2 linked regions of the Diceros bicornis minor genome follow. The protein of the gene in region 1 binds, or shares a complex with, the protein of each later gene. Links are inferred from orthologs where the notes say so. Each region holds a gene or a part of one and is shown on either strand. Other genes may lie near its edges.

Evidence for each region.
Region 2: the proteins of RPS6KA3 (region 1) and BMF are in contact, whole or in part, in a crystal structure (PDB 8R58), measured with the Homo sapiens proteins. The link is inferred for Diceros bicornis minor from reciprocal best matches to the Homo sapiens genes RPS6KA3 and BMF. Residues at the interface, in NP_004577.1 of Homo sapiens: Trp252, Phe259, Phe268, Leu281, Ala283, Lys284, Leu285, Gly286, Met287, Pro288, Leu299, Arg300, Phe303, Lys304, Arg305, Asn306, Asn309; in NP_001003940.1 of Homo sapiens: Glu8, Leu10, Glu11, Asp12, Asp13, Val14, Phe15, Gln16, Pro17.

The regions. Positions count from the first base shown.
Region 1 is NC_080781.1:16,897,720-16,912,942, forward strand, and holds the start of RPS6KA3 (ribosomal protein S6 kinase alpha-3), read right to left. Parts: upstream 7,755-15,223; 5' UTR 7,508-7,754; coding exon 7,439-7,507; intron 1-7,438. UniProt on the Homo sapiens protein: Serine/threonine-protein kinase that acts downstream of ERK (MAPK1/ERK2 and MAPK3/ERK1) signaling and mediates mitogenic and stress-induced activation of the transcription factors CREB1, ETV1/ER81 and NR4A1/NUR77, regulates translation through RPS6 and EIF4B phosphorylation, and mediates cellular proliferation, survival, and differentiation by modulating mTOR signaling and repressing pro-apoptotic function of BAD and DAPK1.
Region 2 is NC_080744.1:38,018,907-38,034,296, reverse strand, and holds the start of BMF (bcl-2-modifying factor), read left to right. Parts: upstream 1-8,873; 5' UTR 8,874-8,947; intron 8,948-8,954; exon of another isoform or gene 8,955-9,333; 5' UTR 9,334-9,461; intron 9,462-11,577; 5' UTR 11,578-11,582; coding exon 11,583-11,874; intron 11,875-13,373; coding exon 13,374-13,534; intron 13,535-15,390. UniProt on the Homo sapiens protein: May play a role in apoptosis. Isoform 1 seems to be the main initiator.

The sequences.
Region 1 (15,223 bases):
TATACTAATAGAGGAGAAGAATAACAGAAATATAAAGGCGCTTTTGGAGTTACACATAAAGTAGGGTATCTAATATTCAGGAAAGTAGCACTATTTCACGGAAAAAAAAAACACAAAAAACACCCCCAAAAGACAATGTGGAGACCTGACTCCAGGTGGGGCAATAGGCTAGCTTTTGGTCTTGTAGCTGCCTGTTCTTTAGTTCATTCACATTCCTTTCTAGCTGACACCTTCAAGAGAGGAAGGTAAATATGCAGAGTAGGTAATGTCAGTAATTGAGCCATTCTGTTATGGTATGTTGAAGCATAAAAACCGCTGTTTATTAGTAGGTAATATGTCCATCAAATACCCCTGACCCCAGAGGTATGTGTATATGATGGGCAGAGATCAGAAAAAGGGTGAGGGTGCTATTTTACATTATTTGGTAAGCTGTAAGTGTAAATTGCTTTTTTAAGATGAAGTAACAATGATCCCAAGCTAAAAATGGCTGCATCAAAATATCATTAACCTTAGCTACCTGTTTTCCAGTAACTGCAAGTCAGAAGCAACTAATTTAAAAAGGAGAATGGGAGAGGTAGGCAGATTGACAGTAGCATAAAGCAGCAAATGATATAAGAGAGTTTTTAAAAACTATGAATATTAGACATAAGTTACAGAGGAAGTAAATGTAGAGGCCAATTAGGAGGGGCAATTAGCTTGATAATAAGGTAGAATATGACCATCAATTTTCAGAACATTGAATAAAAAGTTTAAATTATTTTAAACTTTTATGTAAATTATATTTAAATTTTTAGTCCACTATTAAGATGGAAAATTGCTATACAATTTAATTTAGAAAGATTTCAATGCAAAATGCAACAAAAAGTCTTGACAGTTAAAGAAAAAAGCTTTGATACAAACATAACAGCTCATTTCCAGGCAACACTGGATCATGTTACTGTACTTATCAGACTTTCCAAAACTGTGTTCTGCAAGGCACTTGTGTCCTGTGAGACTTTAATAGATGGTTCACGAAAAACGGGTTCTGACATCAAGTCTCAACTGCTGTGGGCTATATCCTTTTTGCAGATTCATCATGTACATCAACATCTTGAAAGTTCTAAGAAGTTATGCAGTAAAGAAATTGGTCAAATCTTGTTTAACTCCACAATTCCCAAATTTACTTGATCATGCCATGCTCCTTTGTGTTTTTTGGAGGGGGGAGATGGTTGCTTGGGCACAGATACACCTTTAACATTCCCAGAGACTTCTCAGTTAAAAATACTGTAGGTACCATTTAAAGTTCCTTAAGTACCAATACCACATAACAGACCAAATCCAAGGATTATATTTCTAAACAGGAAAACCCAGTTACTCATGGCATACTCAAATAACCAAAACAAATGTGTTTAGAATACTGGGCAAGGAGGTGTGCCATATTAAGTTCCGTCCCTAAAAATGAAATTAACAGAACTGATCTTAAAATATAAAAAGCTGTGCACATTTTGTTTTGGTATGTTTTAGAAAGTAAGTTAAAATTCTACTTATTGACTCTATACATTGACTTTATCCATTTCTTCAGGGACACACTTCTTTCATGAAGTTGACATACAGGATGTACCATAGTTCATCGATTATAAGACACCATTATGTGTAAGATACACTATTATCTTAAATATTACTGAGGAAAAAACCCACTGCTAATTAAACAACAACATGCCACGGATTGTGAGACGCCTTCCAATTTGAGCAATGTTGAAATGTGAACGTACTTTCCTTTCTTCCTTCTTCGACACATATTCTTCAAAATGTTCTTTATCTGTTTTCCCCCTTTAAACGCAATACTGAAGAGGGGAACAATACAAAAAAAGGACAAGATTCAAGAGATTTCTGTTCATCTTACTCCTATTATATTCAGATATTATAATGGTTCTGTTTAAACAGATCAAACAAATCATTTTTAATTGTTCTGCTTGATTCTGAAAAAATTACCCCAGAGGAAAAACACAGAACTTCCTCAGACAGTTCTGTTAGAGAGATGATTCACTATAACTATTATTTAGTAAATACTTAAACCATGTGCTGAACCAAGTGCTTTACATATATTATCATTTCATTTAGCTCTCACCACAACCCCACGAGGTAGACATTATTTTCATCCCTATTTTACAGATTAGGATGTTGAAGCATAGAGACATTAAATAACTTGCATAAGATTACAAAGTTATTAAGTGGCAGAGCCAGGACTCAAACCCAGGTCTTCATAACTCCAGAGCTTATGTTCTTTAACACTTTGCCATACATCCAAGTTATCCCACAAAGTGCCTTCTAAATGATAAGGAGATAAGTAAAAATGAAATATTTAATTGTTAGTAACTAAAGTATTTGCTTAAAATAGGTCAAATGTGTTAAATGATAGTTACATTCTATATGGATACATTTTATCCTGAATCTGTTTTATAAAATGTATACAGTCATGCCTGCATAACGACGTTTTGGTCAATGACAAACTGCATGTACGACGCTGGTCCCATAAAATTAGTACCATAGAGCCTAGGTGTGTAGTAGGCTATAGCATTTAGGTTTGTGTAAGTACACTCTATGATGTTCACACAACCACGAAATCACACAACGACGCATTTCTCAGAATGTATCCCCATTGTTAAGCGACACATGACTGTATAGTATATTTGTGCTCGTTTTGTTAACTTGACACATTTTACTTAACAATTAAGATTTATAGTTGTTTTATCTTTGCTTTCATGCTATTTGGAATTAAATTGATAAACCGGATTATCTGAGATCTGGTAATTGTTCCAGATTAATGACACAGGGAACTGTATCAACTCTGAAAGGGGGCATCTAATGCCAAGTATTAAAATGCAGTTGCTTGTTTTTTCTATTATGTGAACTGGGGAATGGGATGTGTCATATACATATTTGCACAATTGTATCCCAGTGCTTCAAAACTTGTTATCCACCAAAACATATAAACAACTGAGCACTATCACACTCATGCATTACCAAGAGATCACCAAGATGTCACTGTTGTACATTGTAATCTGAACCACTGGCTCTAAAACATCCAGTCTGCACTGGGCAAATTGGGCCACCTGACGTCACCCATCATTCATAGCCTGGCAGATCATATGTCCCTGAGCACAGAACTCTAGAGCAAATCTTTTCAATGACCACAATGGTATGAATTTTTTAGTGGATGATAAATTTTTAAAAAATCTTCAGCACAATTCTTCTGCAATTCAGACTTTTGATAAATGACCTACTATATTTTTGATCATTCTATAATTGACTGAATATCATGTCCTTGGTCAAGCGTGCACATCCCAATTATGCCACACTCCTTATATAAAAATAGGATATACTCGTTGTGATTTCCAGAAACATACTAAAGAAAAGACAAAGTCTGCCTATACTTATTTCTTTAATTAGATAAGTTTAGCTCTTTATTTTAAAATTTAGATGTACCAAAGAAGTTTCACATTTTGGATCAACCCCATCAGTACAGCATCAAGTTGCCAAAACAAAGCAAACTTTCCTAAATTTCTGTTTAACAAAAACTGGCATTCTATATCATAATCACTGAAAACAACGAAGTGTTCAGTAATGTGTCACAGTTACTTGACAGTTGACATGTAACAATACCTGTCCTCTCCTCAGATCTTCACTTGGGGGAAAGAAAAAAACCTGAAAGGTGGTAAAAATGAAACAGTAAAAGGAAAAAAAACTTAATAAAACATTTTTTTCACAATCAATAATCATACTTTAACAGAATGTTTTTCCCTATAGATGAAACATAAGAAACCTAATATAGTAGAACTACTATAGAATCCAGTATAATCTTTGAGGTTAAAGATGGCCATGCATCTACTGAAGATGGCTTCCAATACAAGGGTCTCATTTTTTAGAAAGAAAATATTTATATAGTTATTTTTCAACGCATTATGAGTATTTGTTATTTAAAGGAATTCAAGGTGGCTATTTTTATACAACACATTTCTATAAAGCAAAATAACCTCCTTAATTTTATTACTTTTGGAAATTGTTCAATTTTAGGTTTACTATCCTTACTCTATTGAAACTGAGAAAAAAGTGTCACTTTAGGTCAGGCTTATGATCCAGTAAATGCTGTCCTTGACAGTAGTAGCAAGGAATTTGTAGAACAGAATAGCCACAATTCCTTGATATCCATCTCAACAGTCAAATATTCAGAAACATACTAGCATCTTTAAATAACTCATTAAAGAGTTCTGAATTCACCTGGACTATTTACGAAGCTATTTTGTTTTTAATCTTGTACCAATCTTGACTTTGCTTACATAGTACTTCTTTTATTATCCTAAATTTGCTTCTTGAAACCTTTGGCCTAGTTCTAGCCTATCATGTTCTGACCCATGTTTGAATTCCACCACAAGGGTTTTTCTGTTTCGAGCACCATGCGACTCACGTGAGATCTTAGAGCAGGAAGGCCATATAAAGGAATGAAGAAACTGTCTGTACTTTTGGTGAGGTACTCAGGTCTTTTAAGATTGTTCCTATTTCAATGTAAGGTTAAAATGATAGGAACAGAGATAAGATTGATAATCACCCTATTCCTGACCTTCATAATTCACTCAGCAGTCATCCATTGGGTCCATAATATGTATGTGCCAGGCACTGTGTTAAGTGCTGAGGATACAGAGAAAAAAAGTCTCTGCTTTCAAGAGTTCACAGTCTACTAGGGGTGAGACCATAAATGTACATTCCTATAGAGACCAACCTTGACATCTTCTAGCCTGGAGAGAAAACTTTTGATGTATTTACTCAAGTAAATGACTATCTTAAAAAACTGATTTTACTCTGGTAAAATACAATTATTCTCTGATAAGAACCTACTGGGGAGGAGATGGCATAATATTAAGCCCAATATTAGACTTTTGAAAGAAAACTCTCAACCTTTTCCTTACTGGTCTCAATATTTCCAAATTTCTATCAGAAGCAATTTACTTGAAACAGCTGAACAACCAAAGGCAACAAAATATCTAAAGGCAATTTGTTAAAATCTAGTTTTAATAAATCTAGGCAACACTGGCTGTTTGACATACCTCATGCCAGAATATCAAGAAAATTCTTTGAACATGGCAAATTGCGGAATCCTATCTGCCAAGTTCTGGAAACCATGACAGTAACCGAAATAAGTACTTTAACAAATGAGACCTCTTGTAATACCATAATTGTTTCTGAAAAACACATGACCTCTAACTACTGGCTTATTTATTTATACCCTGAATTTTTCCACAAAGGATCTGAAGCAGCTACCCTAATATAAAGCAAAGGACATGAATTATATCCACCTGGCTTTGAATTATGGCTCTGCCATCTACTATTTATAATCTTTGGGCCTTTAACTTCTGAGATTCAGTTTCTTAATCTGTAACAATAGGGACCGTAATCCTATTCTGTTGGGTCAAGGAAAGAAAATGAAATAGGATGTAGCACGGTATCTGGCATATAATAAGTGCTAAGTAAATACCAGTTTTGTGCCTTCCTTATCCAAATGTACGCTACATAGAAAAGGACAAGGTGGAATTTTAAACGATTTTTTTTTCACATTGATACGTGCCAAGCAGAAATGTGAACTGATTATGAGTTGCAAATGTTAAGGTTTGCATCTAAAAATCAGGCTCAAAGCAAATTCAATTTCTTTCCACAAGGTCAGCACTTTGAGAACATATTTTATCAACCTTGTAGCTATATTATTTAACGCAAAAAAAAATTTCTGAAGGAAAAAAAATGAATGAAAAGAGCCCCCTGGCATACTACTTTTCACACTAACCATTCGAAGGATGATTAAACATTCTAAATTTGATTTTCTTATAAAAGATTTATAGTATTAGACTGGCTAACACAATTTTAAATGAAATTCTCGTAATCCTGCCAGTCTTAAAAACATGATTCCCTTTAAAAAAATTTTAGGTAACATATATCAATGTCTTTCTTATTCAAGAGCAGCGTTTAGGTTTTAAAAATACGATCTAAGTCGCAAAATACTAAGCACCAATCGTAAGCACTATTACAACTCTGCTTGCGTTAGGGAGAGCAAGTAAACATTTTATACAGCAGTGGAGGTGACTAGGAAAACACTGAAAAGCGATTAGAACGGATCCCCCTCCCCCTTCATTATATGCTGGAGAATGCAAGTGTCCCGCATCTCAGATCAAACTGAGCCTCGGTCGTACTGACGTAACCAGTAACCCTATCCACCTCTCACACTGCGGAGGCCGGCAGGGCAGCGGCGGCCGCCAAGTACACCACTCATCAGAGCCTGCCCCATTCCACCCCCGCGTTTCAGTCATGCTTTCCAGAAATGGGGTCACTCACTCAGTAACTATTACACACACGCAGCCTATCATCCTGTAATCCCCCAAAGTCCGCTGTGGGGATAGAAGACAGCAAAAAAGTCAAGAAGGAAGAATCACAGACGCGCCACCATCAGGAATTGATTTTCCACTCCGGAGAGGAGCGCTGATGCCCTGGAATGGGTCTTGTCTGGATTATTTTCGCAGACCCCGAGTTGGTTCCGGGACAGGGGCGACTGCGAAAAGCTCAGTGCCGTGGGGTGTCCGGGGAAATTCTGTTTTGCCCTGTTTGGGTATATTGTTTGGGTTTTTTAGCACTCGGGAGGGTGTCTCAGGGACGGTCACCAGATCCCGGGCGAGGAAAACCCGACAGCCCTTTACGGCGGCCGCTGGTCTCCTTGAATATCACCCTCTCACCTCCATGGACAGGAAACTCAAGTTAAACTCGCGGGGGCCGGGTCCTCGAGCTCAGCGACCTCAGAAACGCGGGGGGGGGGGACCTCAGGCTTCCACTTTCTCCTTTGCAGCAGCAGAAACCGCTGCGGCAGATGGGGGGAGGCAAAACCCCTGGGCTGTCCTGCACTCCCTACCCGAAACCCCCACAGGTCGCCGTCCCTGCCCCCGCGCGCCCGTGTCCCCGCAGCAACCCCCTCCCCCGGCCGGACTCGAGAGTCCCTGCTCCCCGGTGAACCCAATCCCTACCCCTCCCTCATCGCCCAAAGTCACCCGGGGCCAGGGAAGCCCCCAACCCGGCAGGGCCAAACTTCCCAACTCCTCGCCGGCCCCCGCTCCGCCTCCCGCTCCCCCCACGCGAAGCTGATTAAAATCGGCTTCTTCCAAAGCCCCAGCGCCCACTCCAAACCCCACGCGCCACCACCCCACAGCCCCCCGAGCGAGGGAGGGGAGGTGTGGGTGCGGGTGGGAGGAACAGAAGGGCAGAGAGACCAACCCCAACTACCCAAACCGGAATCCCAGACCGAGGCGAGACGCGAGCGGCTGAGGAAGGGGCCGAGTGTCCGACTCCCGGGTGGGGAGCGAGCCGGCGGGGGCGAGGGGAGGGGAGGGAGGGTACGAGCCAGCCCCGGCCGCCCGGCTGCACTCACCTCAGCGCTGTCGGACGGGCTCTCCACAGCCATCTTCTGCCACGGGTCCGCCAGCTGCGCCAGCGGCATCTTCCCCCCCGGCCCGCCGCCTTCACCGCCTCCTCCCTCCCCGCCCGCCCCGCGGCCAGCCCCGCTCCGTCGCCGCCCGAGCCCCACGGCAGCAGCGGCGGCTGCCCGGGAGAGGGCTCGGCGCCGACACCGACCCTCGAATGCCGCGTGCCCGGCTGGAGACGTCCGCGCGCCGAGCGAGAGCCTCGCGCCGCTGCCGGGCACCGGGTCTCGCCCCTTTCTTCCTCTCCTCCTTCCGCCGCCGGGACTACAGCTCCGCCCCCCGCCCCGCCGGTTCCCGCGCCCGCTCCCAGCAGAACTGCGGCCGCCGCGCGCTCCCCCACTTCCGCTCACAACATGGCGCCTAAGCGATACCTGTCTCTCAGAGCGAGGCTCGGCAGCCGCCACCACCGCCGCGCGCACCCGGGGGCGGGGCTTGGGAAGACACGCCCCCGGCCGCCGCGCTGCGCTCCTCCTTCCTTCCTCGCCCCAGCCTCAGCTTCTGGGCCTCGCCTACTTTCAGGAAGGGCGAGTCCGAGAGATCTGGGGGCGTCGGCGGGAGGCGGGGGAAAAAAGAGGGGACAGGCAGGAGGGGAGAAAGGCTGGGAGCCTTTAAGTGCCACGGGACCCAGTAGGTCGGAAGCTCCTTGAGGATGTAGAGAACAGTGGTCCCCGCCCAGCTGGGGAAAGAGATGGGCGAGGCGCGGGGGGCGCGGTTTGGTGCCAAGGACCCCGAGAGGGGGCGTGGGTGTCTTTTCCGCCTGAGCCCTCCGTGAGTGCGTATAGGCGCGCGGAGTCTATAGGCACATCCCGTCATGGCCCAGGACACGCCCTCTTCAGGGTCACAAGCTGGGCATTCACCTGCCCCCTCTCCACACGCCCCACGACAGGGACACGGAAGGCTTCGTGCCCTGGAGCCCTCTGGGGGTTCGGCTCTCGGTTTGATTCAAGACTCTCCAAATTGACGCTCTCGTATTATATTTTTAATATTTGGAATTCATTCGTCTTGCAGGAGTCGCCCCCTCCCTCAAGTCCGCAGAGCCCTCGGGCTTCAGCCTTGACCCTCGAAGCCACCCCCACTCCCTGCTGCCTAAATCTTGACGAAAGAGAAAACAAGGAGGTTCCTTAAGGCTGCCTCTCTCAGCAGAGGTTGGGGAATTATTTAAAAATATCTTGTTGGCAGGAGCCCGGGGTTCCTGCTCCTCTGTTGACTTTAAATAAAAGATTAGATTAAAAATCGGGTTGGCGATGGGTGGAGGAGGGGGAGAGAGGGAGGGGTTCTAACTCCTCCTCCTGCCCAAGATAGGGAAGCCCTGGGTTAAGGAAACCCAATCCCCAGACGGCGACGGAGCCCAAGAGGACGAAGAGAGCTTGTGGGGAGAGGCCTGGGCGTCTGGAGTGGGTCCCGGGGGGGGTTCTACCCCGTGTTCCCAGCGCCAGGTGTCGTGGCGAGCTCAGTGCGCCAGGGCAGAACTGTGTAAAAGTCGCCGGTCTGAGTGGAAAGCTACTACAGCCAGTGGCTAACAGCCCTACAAGGAAAAGGAAAAAAGTAAAGGAAAATCTCCAGGCCGGCCAGTGCCTTCATCCCCTCAGGCTTCGGCCCAGGCGTCCGGGTCCTCCCACGCCCGGCGACCACAGCGCGTCCCCCGCTGCGCTCCTGGTGCACGCCTCTTAACAGCTCCCTTTCGTCCTTCCGGGACGCAGACACCTGGAGAGCCCTCGCCTTCCTCCCTAACGCAGGTGTGAGGATGCGATTAGAGCCCCACACCTAGCCGGCCAGGTCTGCGCGGGCGGTGCAAGGTTTCTCGCTGGGCCGGAAAGAGGCAGGTGTTGGGCTTTTTCTGCGGCCTTCGCCGGCGCGCCCCTTGGCACAGGCTCGAGGCCCGGGAGCCTCATGGCCTCCTGAAGAGGCTCCATCTGTTTAGGGAACCTGAGGAGGCGGCCGGAAATCCTCGCTGCGCGCCCTCTCCCGCAGCCTTGGACTCAGGGGGACAGCTCAGGGTTGAGCAACATCTGGGCAGGCTCAGCGTGGTCTGTGGGGTGGGGGGTGGGGAGGACTTAACTCGCGATTTTGTCACCTCCCCCAACAGGCTTGATTCAAGTGCTGCGAATCCAATCTGGACCCAAACTCAGCTAATTTGCGAGCACCGTTTCTATAATTCCTGAGGGTAAAACCAGCTTGCAGAAGTCTGAAGACAAGTAGTTGTGGGTTTTTTTGCATTTACGTACAAAGTGCCTAATTTATCTTTCATTTACATTGCAAAGCCACGTTTCCATTCCTTATACCGAAAAGAAGTTGGTCAATTTGGTTAGTTTAAGGTAAATTAGCCCCCCAAACAGTGATCAATTATTCCAATTAACATTCTTGCTTTAGGAAAAACATACATAGCTGAAAAGAGACGGTTATTATGTATTTAACATTGTCCAGCGCTAATTACTCCACTCAGTGAACTAACCTTTTTAAAATAAATCAGATTGTTTGTATACTGAAAAGTTGATTTCAGTATCAACTTTTATTCATTTCTTTTTACCTTGAGAACTAGAGGAATAACTTTTAAAACAAAGTTAATTGATCTGTAAAACTAATGTGAACAGTGGTCACACTGCCGGAATTAAGCATTAAACGAACTGTTAATAATAGACTAAAGAACCACTAGCACAGCTGTCTTGAATATACGATCAACTTGATAAGTATTTGTGACTTGATTTAGAAAAACGCTATTCTCCTTACTTTTGCCCAAAAAGAAAAGAAAGCAAGTTTTTTTTCTTTTGGTTAACAATAAACTTTTTTCGTTTCTTTTATTAAATCCAAGAGTGGTGCAACCACTCTCTCTGGCTGGAGAATTTGGGAAAATCAAAAAATCAATTTTTTCTTGTAGGTGGCAGCAAAAAAAGTTATTTGAACGTAGAAGCTGATATTGCCTGAGCAGGATTAATTTTTTTTCCTGTTTAAGAAAGGAAAACTCGAAGTGTAGTTATTCAGGCTAATATGGTAGCCACTAGCCACATGTGGCTCTTGAGCACTTAAAATAAGGTTGGCTGGTCCCAATTGAGATGTGCTATAAGTGTAAAGTTCACACCAGATTTCAAAGACAGTACCAAAAAAAAGAACGTAAAGTATCTCATTAATAATTTTTAAAAATTATTTTTTTGCAGTCATATTGGCTTATGACATTGTGTAAATTTAATGTGTACATTATTATATGTCAGTTTTTGTATAGACTGCATTGTATTCACCACCAATAGTCTAGTTTTTATCCATCACCATATGTATGTGCCCCTTTATCCCTTTTGCCTTCCCCCCACCACTTCCCCTCATTAATAATTTTTATACTGACTACATGTTGAAATGATATTTTGAATATTGAGTTAAATAAAATATTTCGTTAAAATTAATTTCAACTGTTTCTTTTTACTTTTTTTATGTGGCTACTATAAAATGTATACTTACATATGTGGCTTATTTGTCAAGATTGGCATTATAGTTCTATAGGACAGCCCTGCTTTAGAACTTTCCTTTAACACTGACCCTTTTCTGTATTCCTACAAGACCTATAATGTTCAGTGATATCCTCACATTCCGCTATCTTTTTGGGCTCCTCTGTGCAAAATCAGCACAAAGGGCTGATTCAGTTACCTACTGAATCTATGCCCCCCCCCCCATAAATCTCTCAGTCAGAACCAAAATATTGGAAAGTTATTACTTGAAACTACAGCAAAGGGAGACAGCAAACCTCAGTCGAAAATCTGGGCTAGATTTCCAAGAAATCATTCCTAATGTATGACAGGACAACCAGATTTAACCTCCTCTGTCCCCAACAATTTCCTGCTATAATTATAACCTTTGTATACAAGTTTAAATGGGCATTTACTTAACAAAATAACATTTGTTCAAAAAATGGAGTTACATCAGTCTGGAAAAGTTACAAGATGACTAACTATGGCTCATGGCACAATCTACCTCACATACATCCAAAATTCACAGCTCTGTTACATATAGGTTTGTCACCACCATAGAAAATGAAGCGTAATCATCATCACCTCTCTGAAAAAGTTTTTTCCCTTTACATTATCTGAAGCATATTTATTTTTCACAGAAAAAGTAATCACTAGAGACTATTTAACTATTTCTTTCCAAAGAGATAAAACTTAGGCTTAAATTTTATCTCACATAAGACAATAATTAAACAAAATGCATGGTGACATATCTTTCACGTGTATGAATTCCATTTTTTTCTTTGAAATTTCCTAAATAAAAATTATTAAGAGTATTTTCCTGATTGACACACATCTTAAGAGACAACAGGAATTTCTACATCTATTTGAAAATTTTATTTGAGAGAATTCAAATTTTGGAAAATGTAAGGATCTTCTCTAGGTTTCCCTCCAGATAGAAAGTTCAATGATTCTAGAGTTGCACATGATGAAAGATGCTAATAAAATCTATAAGGAACTAAGGGGAAGCCATTCTACGATACAAATACTTGAAATGTTTAACATTCTTCCCAGCAAGGCAGTGTGGGCTCATGATAAGAGCAGAGACAGGCCTGTGTCCAAACTCCAGGTTCCTCTACATCTCTAAGCTTCAACTTGAAGGCCTAGAACAGGGTCTGGCACATAGTAGTTGCTCAATAAATATTCGCAGAATAAGCTTTGTTTCCCTCATCTGGAAATAAGGATAATAAAACCCACCTCGTGCGTAGGATTTTGGGGATGATTAAATGCAAATAATGTCTGTAAGCATTAAGCACAGTGCCTGCCACATAGGAAGCACTCAATAAGTGGAGCTATTTTTATCAGCTTTATTCAGAAAGGAGTATTCCTGCATACATAATGTAGTTCAAATACTTCACTCTTGAAAGTTACTTCTTTCCATTTGTTGTGTGAGCATTTTATTATGGTATGATCTATTTCTCTAGGGCACTCTTGTATCACAAAAAATGATACTGTGAGTAACTTCCTGTGGAATTCAAATAAAAGAGCATGTAGGGTAACTTACTGTTCTGTTTTTCAAGCCACGTATGTTGAAATGCAAATGATTACAGGTCAGTTGCCTCATAGGCTATGATCAAAACTTTGTTTATGCAATGCTCAAAAGAAACCAACAAATGTATGATTCAAAGTTAACATTACCTGACTCATACTCATGTAGGGAGGATGGGAGGAACGGGGAAGTATGGAGAAGAGGTCTGTGTCAGACATGCTTTAATGTTTTCTTTCATTGGTTTCCAAAATGTTTAATCCTTAGAGGTGTCATTTTGTTTGAGTTGTTTGAAGGGAAAAAAATTATGGGGCTTTGAGACTTGACAAGGAACTGAGAAGCCATTCTTGGAGCTTTAATAAGCTACTGTTTTCCTTCAGTTTTCATTTTACTAGAACAGAAAAGACCCACTAAATGTTCTTGTTTATAAACACTAATTCATAAGAGGGAGATAATATATTAAAACTTCATTTTCAAACTCATATTAAAAACGGCTGCTTTAACATTAACCAAAAATCGCAGTATAAAGTATTCCTTCAGAGGGTAAACATTCCTGTTTTATAACTATCAATTTAGTTTGGTTGGTTAGAGCAGTGGTTCTCAAATTTTTTCAGTCCACAAACCATTTTGAAGCAAAAACCCAAGGACCACCAGTTCCTACTCATCACTATGAAAAAAAAAAAACTCGAAACTTTATGGAACTGTTGTTTTAGAACATGGCTGTTATTGTGGTAACGTTGTTTTTTTTAAGTTTATATTTGTGCTTTTGAATGTAGATTTGAGTCTGCAGCTAGAAAAGGTACTTTAAAAAATATCCTGACTTTTTTAGTGACTTGCATTTAAGACCAGCCCATAACCAGACCTCAAATGGGGAAGTGACTTTGGGAAAAGCTATGGAATGAAATGGAACTCTATTCCATGACCACCAACTGAACCCCAAATCTCTATGGTTGGGAAATCTGCAGCTTTAATCACAAAAATTGTGTGACTGAGGCAGTGTCAAATCAGCTCTGTTGCTGGAAAAACTGGCTGTGGATTAATAACGCCATGTTTGTAAATGAAGTACATTTTCCTCAAACAACACATCGATTATGATTTCAGTAGCTTATTTTCAAGTCATCTTCCTGGTAACTAGTAAATAAAATAAATGCTTTGGGTGGGTATAAATATCAAGGAGTTCCTTTATTAAAAAAGAAATTGAATTTAAATAACTTACAATTGCCTGCTAAATAAGTGATGAATTCTATAGATTAAACGAAATTTTAAGAAACCCCACCAAATGAAACTATATGCAAATGTTGACTTCATGTGTGAGCAAGAATAAACCAATTGGAAGTAGCATTGGCAGTTTCAGACACTTTATCATCTTATATAGTGATGGTGATGTTGACAGTAGCAGCTAGACATCTTTTGAGTGCATACTATGTGTCAGGCACTGTTACAAGTGTTTCATGTGTGTTAACCTCTGTAATCATCACTGTGCTCCTAAGAATGCTAAATATATATTAATAGCAGCTAACAGCTATTGAGTACTTGCAAACTGTTAAATGGTTTACCTACATTATCTTTTTTCATTCTAACAATAGGTATTGTTAGTAAAAGTCAGTGTTTCATTTTGACAAAGAGTGAATATTTTTCACTCTAATTCTTTCAAAAAACTTCAGGAAAATGTACCATAAAATACAATTAAATAAGTACTTAAAAGTATCTTTATTAAATACATCTGCTTGTCACATTGCTGTCTTTATTTTATTTCACCTTGGTGGATACAGCAAGATTCTGTGAATGTCATTTTGAATAAAATGAAAATAAGTTTCAGTTTCTCCAAAGAGCAATATAAGGCTTTTGAAAGGATGCTAAAAGAGATAATTTTCAAATGAAAACTTTCCTTTCCAGGAGCCGGCCCCGTGGCGTAGCGGTTAAGTGCTCGCACTCCGCTACTGGCGGCCGGGGTTTGGATCCTGGGCGCGCACCAACGCATCACTTGTCGGGCCATGCTGAGGCGGCGTCCCACATACAGCAACTAGCAGGATATGCAACTATGACATACAACTATCTACTGGGGCTTTGGGGAGAAAAAGGGAAAAAAAACAAAAACAAAAAACTTCCCTTTCCATAGTTCACCATGGGCCTCTAGACCACTGTTATGGGTTGAATTATGTCCGCCTGCAATGATATGTTGAAGTCCTAACACCCAGTACCTCAGAATGTGACCTTATTTGGAAACGGGGTCATTGTAGATATAATTAGTTAAGATGAAGTCATACTTCAATAGAGTGGGCCCCTAATCCAGTATGACTGGTGACCTTATAAGAAGATGGCCATGTGAAGACAGAGACACAGGGAGAATGCCATGTAAAGACAGAGAATTGGAATGATGCATCTACAAGCCAAGGAATGCCAAAGATTGCTGGCAAACCACCAGAAGCTAGGAAGAAGCAAGGAAGGATTCTCCTACAGCTTTCAGAGGGAGCATGGCCCTGCTGCCACCTTGATTTTGGACTTCCAGCCCCTAGAACTGTGAGCCATATATTTCTGTTGTTTTAGTCCGCCCAGTTTGTGGTACTTTATTATGGCAGCTCTAGCAAACTAATACAACCACTGAGAAGATTTTTGCTTATATATATGCATAGCATTTTTCGCTTCTGAAAACACTATATCTACTATTAAGGATTTCCTAAAATAGTAGGTCCATCTCTGTAAGCAATAGGGAAAAATAACGATAGAGAGGAATTTGGAACATGTTTAAAAATAAA
Region 2 (15,390 bases), on another chromosome or scaffold:
TTAGCCATTAGGTAAATGCAAATCAAACCCACAATGATTCTTCAAAAGATTGAACATAAAGTTCCCTCCCCATTTGACCCGGCAATTCCACTCCTAGATATATACTCAAAAGAATGGAAAACAGGTATTCAAACAAAAACTTGTGCATGAATGTTCATAGCAGCACTATTCATAATAGCCAAAAGGTGGAAACAAGCCAAATGTCCATCAACTGATGAACAGATAAACAAAATGTGATATATCCATATAATGGAGTATTATTCAGCCATAAATAGGAACAAAGTACTGATTCATACTACAACATGGATGAATCTTGAAAAGATTATGTTAAGCGAAAGAAGACAGTTACAAAAGACAACATAGTATATGATTCCATTTATATGAAATGCCCAAAAGAGGCAAATCTACAGAGACAAAGTAGAGAGGGCTGGCCTCTCTGGTTAAGTTCCATGCACTCCGCTTTGGAGGCCTGGGTTCATGGGTTCAGATCCTAGGCACAGACCTACATCACTCATCAGCCACACTGTGGTGGCGACCCACATACAAAATAGAGGAAGATGGGCACAGATGTTAGCTCAGGACTAATCTTCCTCAAGCCAAAAAGAAAAAAAAAAAAGAAAGTAGATTAGTGGTTACTTGGGCTGGGAGGGGTTGGGGGAAATGAAAATTACTGCTAATGGGTATGAGATTTCTTTTTGGAGTGACGAAAATGTTCTAAAATTGTGATGATGGTTATATAACTGCAAATATTTTAAAAATTGTTAGATTGTACACCTTGGGTGACTTTTACAGTAGGTGAATTATATCTCAATAAAGACTATAATGGCAGGCAGTGGGAAGGCAAGCGGGGGATGTGTCTTACGTCTCATGGCCTCCCTACCACTCCTAATACAGTGTGGGGCACATTGTACGTGCTCAATAATTACTTCAGGTAAAGGAAGTAGTTTCTTTTCAGAGAAGTCATGAGGATTTCAGTCACACCTATTGGGCATGTGTAGAAATAGGAAGAGACCCCACTGACAAAGAACCAAAAGAGATCAAATGAAACAAAGTCCCCAAAACATAAGAGTAAATTATTTTTTTAAATCACATTTCAAAGATAATGACACAAACTTTAAGTACCAAAGAAATGGAATACACAAGCTCTCTGCCTACAGGGCATGTTTGAGCAATAAACATTTAAACAAAAACTTCCTTCCTGCAGACAAGGAAACTGGTAAACTCCAGGAATGCTTTCCGAGGAACTACATTCTAAACCCAAAGCCATATCAAGATTCTTTTTTTCTCCTCCCTTCTGAGAGCTTGCCTAGTCCAAAGGCACAGTGAAGGTCATAGTCTATGACCCTGTCTTAGAGCTGATGTAAGCTGGGGAAGTAGTTTCTCCCTAAAGTCAATAAGAATTTACACCAGGGGCCTATCCAGAGGTCAGTTTTGTATATTTTATACCCTCATTGTGAGAGGTGTCAGGATTGAAAAAATGATTCTACTCTGAAGCATTTCAGAATTTTTGATATTTTTCTCCAGTTGTGAAATTCAGGATTGGGGCTGCTGTTTAGTTTCTTTGTCACACGTTTACATAGCCTCGGATGATGCTTGGGAGTCCATGAAAGCTAGAATAGGATCCATAACCTGGTCTGGTCTGGGGGAAGAGTTCAGAGTCCTTAGGGTCCCCCTCATTCCTTAGAGGTTATTACACCCAGAACAGGCTTCATGACCCTGAAGCCTTAGAAAAGAGCCCGAAATGGCCCTATCCTCACCCAGTTTCACATTGCGGTTTGACATTTTTTTAAACCAAGTAAACCAGTATTGGTAATTTAAGGCTGGGCTTGTCCTAAAAGAACAACTTGATTTTTATTCAAATCACTGATTCAGGTGCCCTAACCTCTGCCAAAGAGTAAGTCAGTTTACTGGTGCAAAGAGCATCTGAGAGCTGGAGGAGACCCACGTCATGGTCACTGGTTTAGCATAGCTCTTTCTCTGGGTGAAGAGACATTGATAACTCCATTCACGAGCCATTTAAAAGATTCAGACTCAGGCCGCCCCGTGCCGTAGCGGTTAAGTGCACGAGCTCCGCTGCTGGCGGCTCAGGTTGGGATCCCGGGCGTGCACCAACACACCACTTGTCAGGCCATGCTGTGGCGGTGTACCACATAAAGTAGAGGAAGACGGGCACGGATGTTAGCCCAGGGCCAGTCTTCCTCAGCAAAAGGAGGGGGATTGGCATGGATGTTAGCTCTGAACTGATCTTCCTCACCAAAAAAAAAACAAAGAAAAGGTTCAGACTCAAGTGAACTTTTTCCAAATGGGGACGATAACGTTAACAAAAGCAGCCTCTCCACACAGGATGACTTCCACTAAAATGTCGAGCATTTCATGAGCCAATAAAAGGGCTGACTGTTGTTGCTGTGGCCCAAAGTGAGGCCAGAGACAGGTGGCAAATGCAGGAGGAGAGCAGGGTTTGAGAGATTAAGGAGATAAAGAAAGAATGCTGCATGGGGCAGCGGGAGAAGGAAGTTGGCAGAGAGGGAAAGGAAGTCCAGGATGGACAGACAGTAGAGGAACTACAGGGGCGAAGATCTATGCTCAGTTCCAGAAGATTCCATAGCCATGTAGGGAGGGAAAGAAAGCCCAGGGCAGTGTCTGCCACTCTAGTGGGCTCCAGACACCACACCAGACACATCCTGGCTGTGTTGGCAGGCTCTTCAGCACCTTCCTCTCGCTGGCCCACCTGACAGCTGGGCATGGCCTGGACATGCAGGCACTCTTCGTTGAAAGGTGGATGCAGGGTAATGGTGGCTGCCTGGGACTTGTCTCCTGCATCCAAGAAGACTTTTTCTCTGAGCCCATGGGATCTTTGATTGGTCCTTGGCTGGGAAAGCCCCTTCAGCCTGACCTCCCCTCCCTCACCTGGCAGCGTTCAGAAAAGGGATGAGGGGCCCCTGTTGGTCCTGTACAAATCCCATCCAAGCGACAGACCACAGTCCCTTGTTCAGTCATGCGTGTTAGCCTAAACCCACAGGGCCAGGGCAGGGCTAGAAGATAAGGCAGTGTGCTCAACGTAGGCAAGGATAGAAGTAGGAACTGAAAATGTGCCCCAGAGCTGATGCTGGGCCACTGGACCGCTTCCTGCGGGTGATGCAATCACTTCTGCCGCAGGTGGTGGTGACGGTGGGAGTGTTTGCAACTGAGAGAGGCTGGAATTTACCTCGCTAGGCTGCCTCAGGCCTGGCCTTCCTGTTCTGAGGGCACAGAGGACAGTGTGTTATTGATGGGGGAAGGGGAGTGAATTCTGCCTGTGAGGAGAAACTGGGTGTGCCTTTAAGGCAGTAGATGTAAGGCATGTGAGCACTGGCTTTCAAGCCAGAAAGACGTGGCCTCCAATCATCTTTCTGTTGCTGTTTTGCCTGTCTTTGGGGAAGTGACCTTAGTTTCCTTGAGTGTAAAATGGCACTGATGGCGATAGCTCCCTCTTGGGGTTGTTTAGGATTAAATGAGATGCCTTTTGTCACGTGTCTGGCATTCAGTAGGTGCTCAGTAGGTGGGAGTTGTTTTGATTAGAGCCCAGGGACCTCAGGCCGGATGGGGACAAGAGGCTGATGTTGCCCCAGAGTCCTAACTCCTGCCTGCCAGCCTGTTTACTCAAGTTATGCCACATCTGAATCTGTAGGGGCAAGGACATAAATGTGAGGGTTGGAAGATCACCTGTTGATGGCGGAGCTGGGAACTAAACCCAGGTCTCCTGATATCTAGCCTAGAGCCCTTTCTACTTGATCTGATGACAGGTGGGCTTTGGGAACAGGAAAGAAGCGGGGCATCAGACATTTCCAGGATGCCTCTGTTCGAGGAACAGCAAGACCGCTTCCGGGGAGGCTCAGCCTCTCTGGGAAGGCTGTTTACCCTCAGTTCTCTAGTTGCAGCTCTTCCCGCCACACCCTCCTCCCGTCCCCAGTTTCTCTTTGAGCTTGGGTATAGGTGTGCATATGAAGGTTCATGTTTGGGAAGAAAGGGTGTGGATATGCTCAAGGATCCCCCCAGGGATTGTATCTGCACCTCCAGCCCTTGGTATGGAGCCTAGCACACGGCAGGTGCTCAGGATGACCTCACACCTGGGTGACTGAGCCCCTCCCTCATTGCCAGAGAGTGACCCCCTCCCACTCCAGGACAGTGGGGGTTAAGGATGTGGCTGGAAAACAGCTGATCCAACTCACCTTCTCAGAGGAGCACAGATTCAAAACCTGGGAGACTCTATGCCCAGAAGGGACCAGTCCCCAGTTCTTCCAGGTGGCAGTTTTCCTTGATAGCAATTGATCATTCTCCGGCCTCACCTGGAAATTTCTGAGATTTCCTTACTAATGCCAAAGAGAAGTATGTATTGATGTACTAATGTACCTTTGCCCAGGAAAGAGGCCGCATCCTGGGGAAAGTGGAGTAAAAGGAAGAGTATTTTGATTGGATTTCTTCATTCCTTGGCAGAATACAGCCAACTTCTCTTCCAAGGGCTGGGCATGCTGAGCTCTGGGTTGGGCAGGAGGTGGGGGAGAGAGATGCTGAGGACACTGCCCTAAGGACCATGCTTGTAGTTTTTCTGTAAATCTATGTCCACAAACTTAGAGAGTTCCATCATGTGCCAAGCCTGAAGAAGAGGGGTGGTCTGAGGGTACCAAAGGGTTGACACATCACCTTTGCCTTTGAGGGGGAGGCCCTGCTGGTGAGAAGAAACTCAGGCAAGGCCAGCTATCCCTAGCAGCAAACACAACGTAGACAGGACGTTTCTGGAAAATCCTCCCCTGCAGCTTTTTTCCCACTCGCCAACCAGAACTATTCATATTTTTAAAATGTGGAAATGTACACTTATTCAGTCATTCAGCAAATATTTATTGAGTGTTCCCCCAAACAAAACCGAATATGTGCTGAATGTCATAATTCGTGGGATCCTGGACCACACCTTATCTTTCAGGTTGCACTGGGCTTTACCATGGTAGCCTCAGTCTCTGCATTTCCCTATGCACGCAGGTCTCTGAATTCCCAAATGTTTTCTCTTCAGTACCTGCTTTTTCTGAGTCCCACTGAACCAGTGATTGGCAAGTAGTGAATTCATCGACTGGGAAATCAAGTCTCTCCACTTGCTTACCCAATTAGCAGAAGCCCATCTGTCTGTTCTGGTATATTTTCTCTCTCTCCCCCCTCTCTCTGTGTCTCTCTCTCTGTGTGTGTGTGTCTCTCTCTCTCTCTCTCTCACACACACACACACACACACACACACATTCTGTAACACAGAAGACAGGGACTATTCCTTTGCAGACAGATGGAATAATGCATGGAGAGATAAATTCACTCTGTTAGAGCAAGTCCAGTGAGGGAAGGATACCAAGCCTTCCAGGTTCCTGGTCTTTCTTATGTACACAATCCCTCCTGGAGGGATTTAAGAGGCAAGGGGCTCCCCTACCAAGACCCCCACCTTACCCATAAATCAGTTTCCAATCTAACCCCTCCCTGGGGGTTGAGTTACAAACCTCAGTAACCCCGGGGCAGCCTGCCTGGTAATTCCTATTATTCAGCTGTCAGCTGGTTTTTTAAAAACCTCCCTTCCCAGTGATCCAGTTACCGGAGTTTCAGAGCCCGTTCCTTGTCTCAGGGAGAAATCCTATAGCCAGGTGAAACAATGGAGAGGGCTCCTGCTTTCTAGAGGGAGCTTGGGTTTTCTCTTCTGTTGAAAGCAGCCTCCCCTTAACTCTTTGCATCCCTCCCAGATTGCAGGGCAAGGTCTGCAGGCCTCTTTCAGGCTCCCACACTCATGCCTTTCAGAGCAACTTTCCTTTCTCTGGGCAAAGTTTTGCCTCCTTCTAGAGCCAGCACCAGCCAGCAGAGGAGAAAACAAATTGGGGCAAGGGGTGGGAAGAGAAAGAAAGAAGAGATTCTCCAAAATAAAGGTTGCTGCGGCTGCAATGTGCTCCGAGCCCAGTCAAAAGCCCAGGGTTCATCTGTTCGTAGGGTGCTGCTGTTGGTCGGAGGCTCCAAACCCCAATCTCCAGCCCAGGGGGTCCTGACACTGCTGAGTCTGCCCTGTGCCAGAAGGAGAGAAAGGGCCCAGAGGGAGGAGTCTGCTTTGACAGCGATGAGAGGTGGAGAGTGAGGCTCCTGACCTCCCTGACCCCTTTATCCCTGACAGTCTCTTCTGGTCCCTCCAGCTCAGAAGGCTGGGCCCTGCTGCTTGACCTTAGAGGCTGAGAGCGCAGGAGGCCAAGCCACCGGTGTCCTTCAGAACCAGCCTGAGGGAGCAGGCTGGGAAGGCCTGGGAGAGAGGTCTTAGAAGAAACGTCACTAGAGGGTGTGACCCTTCCCCCATCTTGCAAACTGGCCAGACCCACTAAGATGATCCCCTCTGCTCCCCCGCCCCATTCCTCTAACTGATGACTTTTAACCCTTTATAGGGAAAACTGTTGCAAGCTATGGAGCTACCCCCCGCCAAACAAATGTTTGTGTGAACCCACAAAAAATTTAGCCAGTTTCAGGGGTTCACAGACCCTAAAGCTGAGGAGACCCTGGTGAGTCTGGTGAATACGTGGATCCCAGGTAAAAATCTTGCTCTACCACCTTCCTTGCCTTGTGGACCCAATTCCACCCTGCAGGGCTGTGATGAAGCAGACAGGGCTTTAGCAGCTCCGGTGGGTCAGCAGAATTAGGATGACCCCTGTCCCCTGGGGCCTGTGCTGCCCCACAGGACAGATTCAGAGCTGCTTTGCCCATCAGTTCTACTCTTGATCCTAATGATGCTCATAGGCCCCACGGGCCAGCCTGAGACACCGGCAGAGGAGGAAAGCCAATAAGAAGAGACGGATGGGGCCGGCCCTGTGGCATAGCAGTTAAGTGCGTGTGCTCTGCTGCTAGCAAAAAGAGGAGGATTGGCATGGATGTTAGCTCAGGGCTGATCTTCCTCACAAAAAAAAAGAAAAGAAGAAGAGAAGGATGGAAGGAAGGAGGGGAAGGAGGTCTGTGCGTGGTGAACATGGTGAAGGCTCCTCTGTGCCCTACACAGAGGCTGGGCTTAGTCTCCTTATCTCCCCATGTATGGCATGAGTGCAAGGTCACCCCAACCAGCTCTGACACTCCCTCTTGGCCAAGCCTCCCGGTAAAATAATATACTTCCTTTTGGCTTTGGCAGCTCTTTCTAGACATCCATCGACTCCTGGGGGGACTCGGCTGCTGGCGACCCTTGACTCTCCCTTCTTTCCCTTTTCCCTCTTCTCCATCCTTTGGGGACAGTATTTTCTTATTTGAGCAACCACAGTCCTCAATATGCCTGGTTCACTCTCCTTCAGGCACCTTTTGCAAGAGCTATGGAAAGAATGGGTAGGGAAAAGGTTCAAGGAGACTTCAGGCTCCTCTGGGCTAAGGGTCCCAGCTCCCTTAGCTTAAATCTGAGTTTATGACCCAGAGACAGCAGCTTGGTGGTCAGAGCACTGCCAGTCCCCACATCTGCTCGGGAGTCAGGGCCCATCAACGCTCACCTAGTCTGTTGCAGGCACTGGCTCCCTCTCACTGATTTCTGGCATTTTTATTTATCTTTCCTAAAATTCAGGCTTGGTCAAGTCACTCCTCTTCTATAAAATCTTTGTTCCTCTTTGCCTCCAGAATAAAGTACAGATTGCCCAGCCTGGCATCCCAGAGACACCTCTGTTTCTGACCTGACCCTACCTGTCCATGCCCACCCTCCCTGAATCCTGGTGTGCACCTGATGATCCCGTCCCCCAGCCTGCCCCTGCTACCAGGACAGGTTTTCCAGTTTAACAGTTTAATCTTCTACCCCCAGGCCTGGACTGTTTTATCTGGTTTTCCTTCTTGAAAAATTTCCCCATCCTTCAAGTCCCAACTCAAAAGCCATCTCCCAGTGTTTGCATTCTGAATTTTTCTGCGTCTCCCAGCAGTTATTATCCCTGGAATTAACACATTTTGTGCTGCTTTCCATCAATTTCAGTCTACCTCTCCAAGCAGACTGTCAGCTCCCTGAGTGCAGGCACCAGGTTTCTGGCACCTAGCCCAGTACCTGACACAATGTGGGCGTTCAATAAATGTTTGTGAAACAGCCCTTGATAGTACGCAATCGGCAGGACACGTTGCTCTCCTGGCAGCACCAGCACCATCTCTGGATGCTGCCATAAACAGGATGCGTGTCAACCGCCCAAGTAGCCCCTGCATTCTTGATCTCGCCTCTCCTCAGCTAGACGCTTCTTTTCTGAGCGTCCAAGCCCAGTCAAGAAGAGGATATGAGGGTCCCTTTGGACGTGTTTGATCTGAATGTCACTCACTAACAGCGCCAGATACACGTGTTCTCACGCTTCCTACAGCTTTGGGGCTGGAGTTCTCTTCTGACCCGCTCGGCAGGCGGGAGGGTGTTTTGCCACCAGGTCGGAATCCACAGGGACACGCACCTTGCATCCACTGGATGCCGCCAGCCTCGTCTAAAAGGCTCGCCGCCTCCTCTTCCCCTCCCTTTCTGGACGCGCGTAATTATTCAGTCTATTCCCGAGAAAGACAAGACAAAAGTCTCTTTGGCGCCCCCTCTCTCCATCCTAATAGAGAGGACTCAGGGACTCTCCAGCGCTTGCCGAGCCTGCGTTAGGAATCTGCGCGGGCGACGGCGCTCCAATTGCGTTTCTGGAGGGGGTAGGAATTTTGCTCGGCCCCTTGCAATGTTTCCAAAGGAAGGTTCGTACATTCGTGACCGTCCCTGGCAGCCGCCCAGCCCGGGACTTGGGGCTCCACTTGCCATTGGCCAGCCGTCGGCGTGACGCGCCGGAGGCGGGGCCTCATCAGCTGTTTGCGGGATGCCCCGAGCGGGCGTATTTTGGAAACAATACCGCGCGGTACAGAGTGGCCTCCTCCCGCGCCGGCCCGCCCGCTGCCGCCGGCGCCCCGGTCCGCGCCTCCCGCCTTCTGCCGCAGCCGGGTGAGCGCCCGGGCGGCAGAGGGCCGGGCGGAGTTGGATCGCACCTCCTCGGGGAAGTGGGGAGAAGAGTCGCGCTGCGTCTGGGGGCCCGGGAAGGGTTGGGCTGCGGGCTTCTGGGGTGACCATGAAGGACTGGGGCGCTGGGGTGCGGGAATGGGGTGCAGAACCCACATCTGGGTGCGTTGTTCCACGAGGGAACTTGGGGGTTCTAGCATTTGAGACTCCGAGGCGTTGGGTCCAGGTGGGCAGGGTAACCTGCGGTGCACTGTTGAGCAGACCTGGGCGCCCAAGAACGGCCCGGCCTCTGGGTCTGCCTTTGGGGTAGGGCAGGGAGTTGTGGGCTGTGCTGCCTCCCTGCAGAGTCTGAAGGCGCCTCTCCTTAACAGCTGGGCTTTTTCCCTCCTTCCCAATTGAGTCTGGGCGCCAAGCCCCCAAGTGCTCGTCACGCTGGACCCTGGCGCGGAGCCCTGGCATCACGACTCGGAGGCCGAGACTCTCTCCTGGAGTCACCCAGGTCTGCTGTGTGTTGTGTGAGTGCGTGTGTATGTGTGCGTTCCCAGATTTTAGTCGCTGCCAAGGTTCAGAGTGTCTGGCTACTGCCTTCTCCTGGGAGGAGGAGTCGAAGTTCAGCATCCCTGTTAGAGCCCTCAGGGGCTGGGAAGGCTCCAGCGGGCTTTAGTTCCCCTTGCTAGGAATAAAGCCTTCCCTGGCAGTGTTCTTAGGAAGTGCCCTTCTCCCACCAGTTTTGATATCAGCTTTTCAGCTCAGGGGAAGGAGGGGGAGAGGGTCTCTTGACTGTATCCCAGCTTACACTTGACCTTGCCCAGCACCCCTCCGGAGGCACCCACCTACAGAAGAGCCACCTGCAGTTCCTGTGGAGAGTGGGAAGGGTCCCCTGGGCTTGCAGAGCCACACCCTCTGGCTGCACCTCCCCCACCGTCCAGCCAAACAAGGGTTGAACTTTGGGGCTTTGCTGGGAGGGGGAGGGGGAGGTGACGGGCTTCAAAGGAAAAACCAAGACAATGACTCCTGCTTGTGATTGGCTTTGGAGGGCCCCTTCTTAGGTTGGGATTGCCAGCTTACAGAGAGGAGGTTGAAGGGCAGGAGGGGAGCCCCTGCCAGTTGACTGGCAGGACAGCACTTGGTCCTTTCAGTGGGAAACTTTGTTTCCTGGTGCTGATAAACTGGAGTTCTCCCACCCACCTTTGGGAAACACTATCCAAAGAACACCGTGTGCCTGTTTTGCCATCCAAGTGGGCATCTCCTCACTCTCCAGGGAAGAGGGCAGAGATAGGACCATCGATAGCTCAGGGACTGGATGGGATGGAGGGAGGGTTGAAGCAAGTAGAGAAATGGCATTTGGGAAAGGCAGGATTTCTGAATTTAACGGAGATTGGTTTAAGTACTTTACCAACCCACAGACCATTTGGCTTGTTCTTCAAAGGCAAGAGACTGGGAGACAGAATTCCCAGGGCATCTCTAATTGAATCTGGCAGTGACAAAACATTGCCTCTCTATATCCTTAACCACTCGTTGCTGCTTCTGGCTGCCCCAGGGGCCCTAAGGGGTTCCTGGTGTGTGTGTAGGGGGCTGGGTTGGGAGCTCAAGTTGCTGGGTAGTTCCAAGCTCAGACTTCCAAGACCATCAGGTGGAGCAAGAGGAACTTCTTTATCACCAAGAAACTCGTATCAACAACCTAATAGTCTATGCTGGGAGTGAGGTCACAGAGAGAGGGCTGAATTTCACTTCCTTCTGTGAGTCAGGTTGTACCAATCTCAGGTTGGGCGCTGGCAGGAATGGTAGGCTGTGGGGAAAGATTTGAAGTCTGGAGACTCGTGAGTAGACTGAGCTGGGGGAGGCTGACTACTTTGCTGGACCTGCCCTTGAGTCCAGGCTGTGGTGGGCAGACAGCTCTACTCTGCTGAGAGGGTGGCTGCAATGACGAACTTAGGTCTTTTTCCCCTGTCTCTCCAAGGACACACTCTTACCACACCTCCAGCCTGTTTGTTGTCTTGAGCAAGCAGGAGGTGGAGACGAGAGTAGATGAGCAGCTGGGCGGGGCTTAGCAGGTTTGGAGGGAACCTGGCTGCTCTAGGATTGCTGGCTTTTGTTTTTGCTGCTGAGCCTGGAGCTCAGCTCAGACCGAGATGAGAGCTTGGTGGTTACTGCTCAGGGCAGTGTGTGTGTGTGTGTGTGTGTGTGTTGTGAGCACTGTGTGTACAGCCAGTCACAGCACCCTTCTGCCCTCCCACAGTCACTCACAGAGGCTTGTCTTGTCCACATTTCCCCAGCTACCCTTCGTATCTGTAGCAGCTGATCCTGCCCCTGCTGTTGCTCAGTCAATAGCAGCCAAACTTCATGACTGGGACTGGTCTGGGACAGAAGAAGAGGCTGAGGGGAGGGTTGGCTCTGGGTGGGCGCAGGGAAGAGGTATGGAGAGTCCCTGAACAGTGAGGCAGTCCACATCTGGGGGCGGGTGTCACTCTTGGCAGTGCTTGTCTGTCATCAGTACCTGGCCCCACTTCCCAAGATAAGAAAGGAGAGCAGGAAAGAAGGAAAAGGAGGGGATTCCTTCCAGGTCTGGTGTGAGTGGAGGCAGCATGCCCGATGCCTGCATTGTGCCCTGACAGGGGACATGGAGCCGCCTCAGTGTGTAGAGGAGCTGGAGGATGATGTGTTCCAGCCAGAGGATGGGGAGCCGGGGACCCAGCCCAGGAGCTTGCTCTCTGCTGACCTGTTTGCCCAGAGCCAGCTGGACTGCCCCCTCAGCCGTCTGCAGATCTTCCCTCTCACCCACTGCTGTGGCCCCGGGCTTCGACCCACCAGCCAGGAAGACAAGGCCACCCAGACCCTCAGTCCCGCCTCCCCGAGCCAGGGTGTCATGCTGCCTTGTGGGGTGACTGAGGAACCCCAGCGACTCTTTTATGGTGAGTGCTCTTTGCCTCAGGACTCCTCCCATAGAGACTGGGGGAAAAGAGGGGACTTTCCCTCCCCAAACCTGCCCCTTGCTATTTCCTTCCCTAAATTGAGCAAGCAGGGGTATTGAGTCCTTAACTCTCACCCTTCTGCCTCTCTGCTTGTTATTGCCCCTCACCTGTGCTCCTTGGGCCCCAAGAAGAGCCAGTTGCCCTGCCATTGTTTCTGCCCCTTTGTCCCTTCCTGGAGGGATCCTTGGGTCTCCCTGGTGTCTCCTTAGGTTGGAGGGAGGGTACCTGGGCCTTGGCTTTTACACCTGTGGCCCATTGAGTGGCCCAGCCTTTTGTGTCCTGGTAGTGATGTGCCTTCCATAAAGTGGCTAACGTTGCCCTGAAGAAGGTTAGGGGATCTATGACTCGCTGTTGACACTGGAGGGAAAAACCCAGCCTATTCTGGGAGGGAAGGTTCCTGAAGGCAGAAGGTGGCCCCCAATTGTCACTTGGGACTTTCTGTGCTTGGAAGGGGAACTGGAGAAAGAGGTTTGGCCTGCCTGGGCTCAACGCCAGCAGAGGGGCTGTTTCCAAGGCTCAGTCAGACAAGACCCCTTCATTTGTGGGCTTAAATGGTTTGTTTTATGAGCAGTATGCCCTCCTCTGGCAAAAGGGCAGGGTTAGACACTCAGTCTCTTTTCTTCTTTTAGCACAATAGCTGCTGGAGGGAGGGGAAGGTTCGGAGGCTATCTTGCTGTGTCTGACGGAGCAGATTGAGGAGATGCTGCGGTTATTCTTAGAGGGAGCGACTCCATAGGGCGATTCTGGCAAAGCAGTTCTGGTGGATGAGGCAGGCAGGCAGTGAAGAGGGACAGGAGGGAGCAGGCAGTGGGCGCCCCTAGCGGCAGCTGGATTGCCAGCTCTGGGTAAGTGAGGAGCCCGGGGCTGCCTCCAGAGAGGAACTTGGCTATTCTGTGGGTCTGAGGAGTTTTCTCTCCCTAATTTTTGTGCCACTGTCTAGAGCTTCAGGACCTGAGACCAGCCTTCTTCTGCTGCTCTAAAAAGTGAAGACCCTTTTTGGTTTTCTCTTTCTCTGTGCCTTGCTTTGCTCAACCCAGGAACTCTGGAGAGCTGCCTCCAGTGCTTTTCCAAAGAGGAGCTTCAACCCTACTACATGAATAATAAATTGTGGTCAATGTAGCTTGGTAGATAAGGACAGAAGGTTGGCACGTTCGCCTGTACATATTACCTTTGCCGTGGTTCTGCCAGTGACTGGAGAACTGAAGGGAAGGCTGGGACCATTCACTTCTGTTCTCCCAGCATCAACTTTTATATGCTTGGGCAGCAGGCAAGTCAGACTGTCCAGATTTGGCAGAGTGCCCTGATAAAGGCAGGCTAAGTTCCTCTCCTTTATCATACTAACGTTTACCCTCAGCCCAGGTCTTGGCCAGGAGTTGCAGGCATGGGGAGGATGGGGCACTCGTGGAGAATGCTGAGATGTGGGCCCTCTGTCTTTGCAGGCAATGCTGGCTACCGGCTCCCTCTCCCTGCCAGTTTCCCTGCAGGCTTGCCCCTTGGTGAGCAGCCCCCTGAAGGGCAGTGGCAACATCGAGCAGAGGTACAGATTGCCCGAAAGCTTCAGTGCATTGCAGACCAGTTCCATCGGCTTCATATGCAGCAAGTAGGCATGGGGCCTTCGGGGGTGGTGAGTCTGCTGGGGCTGGGAGGCCTGGGCCTGCCTCAGCCTCAGTCTCCACCTGGAGGATTAGGTCCTAGAGTTTGGGACTGATGCTGTTGTGATTCCTGTGGACTGGATGAGCCCGACTGGATGAGCACTCTTGCCCTGATCGCTGAGCTTCAAGTTGGTTATCTGCCCGCTCAGCTCAGGCTCCGTAAGAGCAGGGTGTCGGGATGCTGCAGTCCCTCCCAGGGAGTGGGGTGGCTTTCTGCAGCCTTGCTTGACAAACTGTCTCTTCTTGAGGCCTGGGTTGGGAGATTGTCCCACACAGACCTCAGGGGAAGATTTTCAGGGTGCTGCAGTGTAATTGGACAGTTGGGGTGCCTGGCTGAGGTGCAGTGGGAAACGGGTAACCAAGGCTGGGATGGGCCTGACTGGGGGAAAGTGGTGGAACCGGTTGTAACCCGACACTTTGCAGCTGGGGAGGCTGCTCCTCATTGTCTGTGTCTGGGAACTGGGGCCTGGGACTCGGGAGAGTGTACCTCAGAGAGTCTCTCCAGACCATCGGCCGGGCGCGCGGCCGGGTGCTTGGCCGGCAGCCTGGCACCAGCCCCGCCAGGGCGGAGCATCGCGTGTCAGTCGAGCATGTGGCAGAGTCCATCAACAAAGGCGGCGGCTGGCAGGCTCGTGCTGGAGGAGCCCTCCGTGCCACGGGCTGGAGGCTGCCCTGCTCTGCAGCCGCTGTCTGGGCCGGGCCCCAGGCACTTAACCCTTCCTCACTGGGCTGGCTTTCTGGACGGCTGCCAAGGCAGGGAGAGGAGCCCGAGGCTGGAACCGTGCTAATACAACCACTGCTGAAGCAAAGGCATGCCACCTGAATTGAACACGGTCCTTACCTCTGGAACAGTGTCCCTGGCCCACCGGGCTGTGTGTGTGTGTATTTGTCTGTGTGTGTGTCTAGTGTGTCTGTCTGTGTGTATGTCAGGAAATCAAGAGAATAAATAATTCAGGGGCCAGCTCCATGGCGTAGCGGTTAAGTGCGTGCGCTCCGCTGCTGGCAGCGCAGGTTCGGATCCCAGGCGCGCACCGACGCACGGACGCACAGCTTGTCAGGCCATGCTGTGGCGGCGTCCCACATAAAGTGGAGGAAGATGCGCACGGATGTTAGCCCAGGGCCAGTCTTCCTCAGCAGAAAGAGGATGATTGGCGTGGATGTTAGCTCAGGGCTGATCTTCCTCACGAAAAAAAAAAAAAGAATAAATAATTCACCATGATTGGTCAGACCCTGAGGTTAGATGGGTAACTTCAGGTGGTCAGAGGAGAGCTATTGGTAGTAGAAGGTTTGACTTAAGGGTCAAACCGTTGCCAGCACCAGGGGGAAGAGGAATTGACTTTGGAGTTCCTGAGAACAGGCCATCAGGGGTTAGATGTGGTTAGTGCCTCTGCCAAGGAGTTCTGAGGGAAGTTTGGGGCTAGACCTGGTCCTGGTGGCTCTCCTAGTCCCTTAGTGATCAGGAAGGGAGGGTGGCCCTATGCTTAGATAGTAAGGCAGCCTGGCCTCCTCCTCTGGCCCCAAGCTCCAATCCCTATTCCCTCCTTTGATTGGAAACTTGGCTTCGAGTTTCCCCTTCAGTCCCTGTGTGGACTTACTCTGATTCTTGATTTCTGTCTCTTGGCCTCCTGCCTGCCCATTCACTCTACCCTGGTTGTATGGGCCTGTGGCTGGGGCCAGCTCACAGCTTCCAGTCCTGGTGCTGGAGCTGATGGAGGACACAGTGGCTGTGGGTCTTCTAGACTCATCTAGAAGACTATCTGGAAGGCAGCTTTCTTCATTCCCAATAGACCTGATCTCTCCCAAC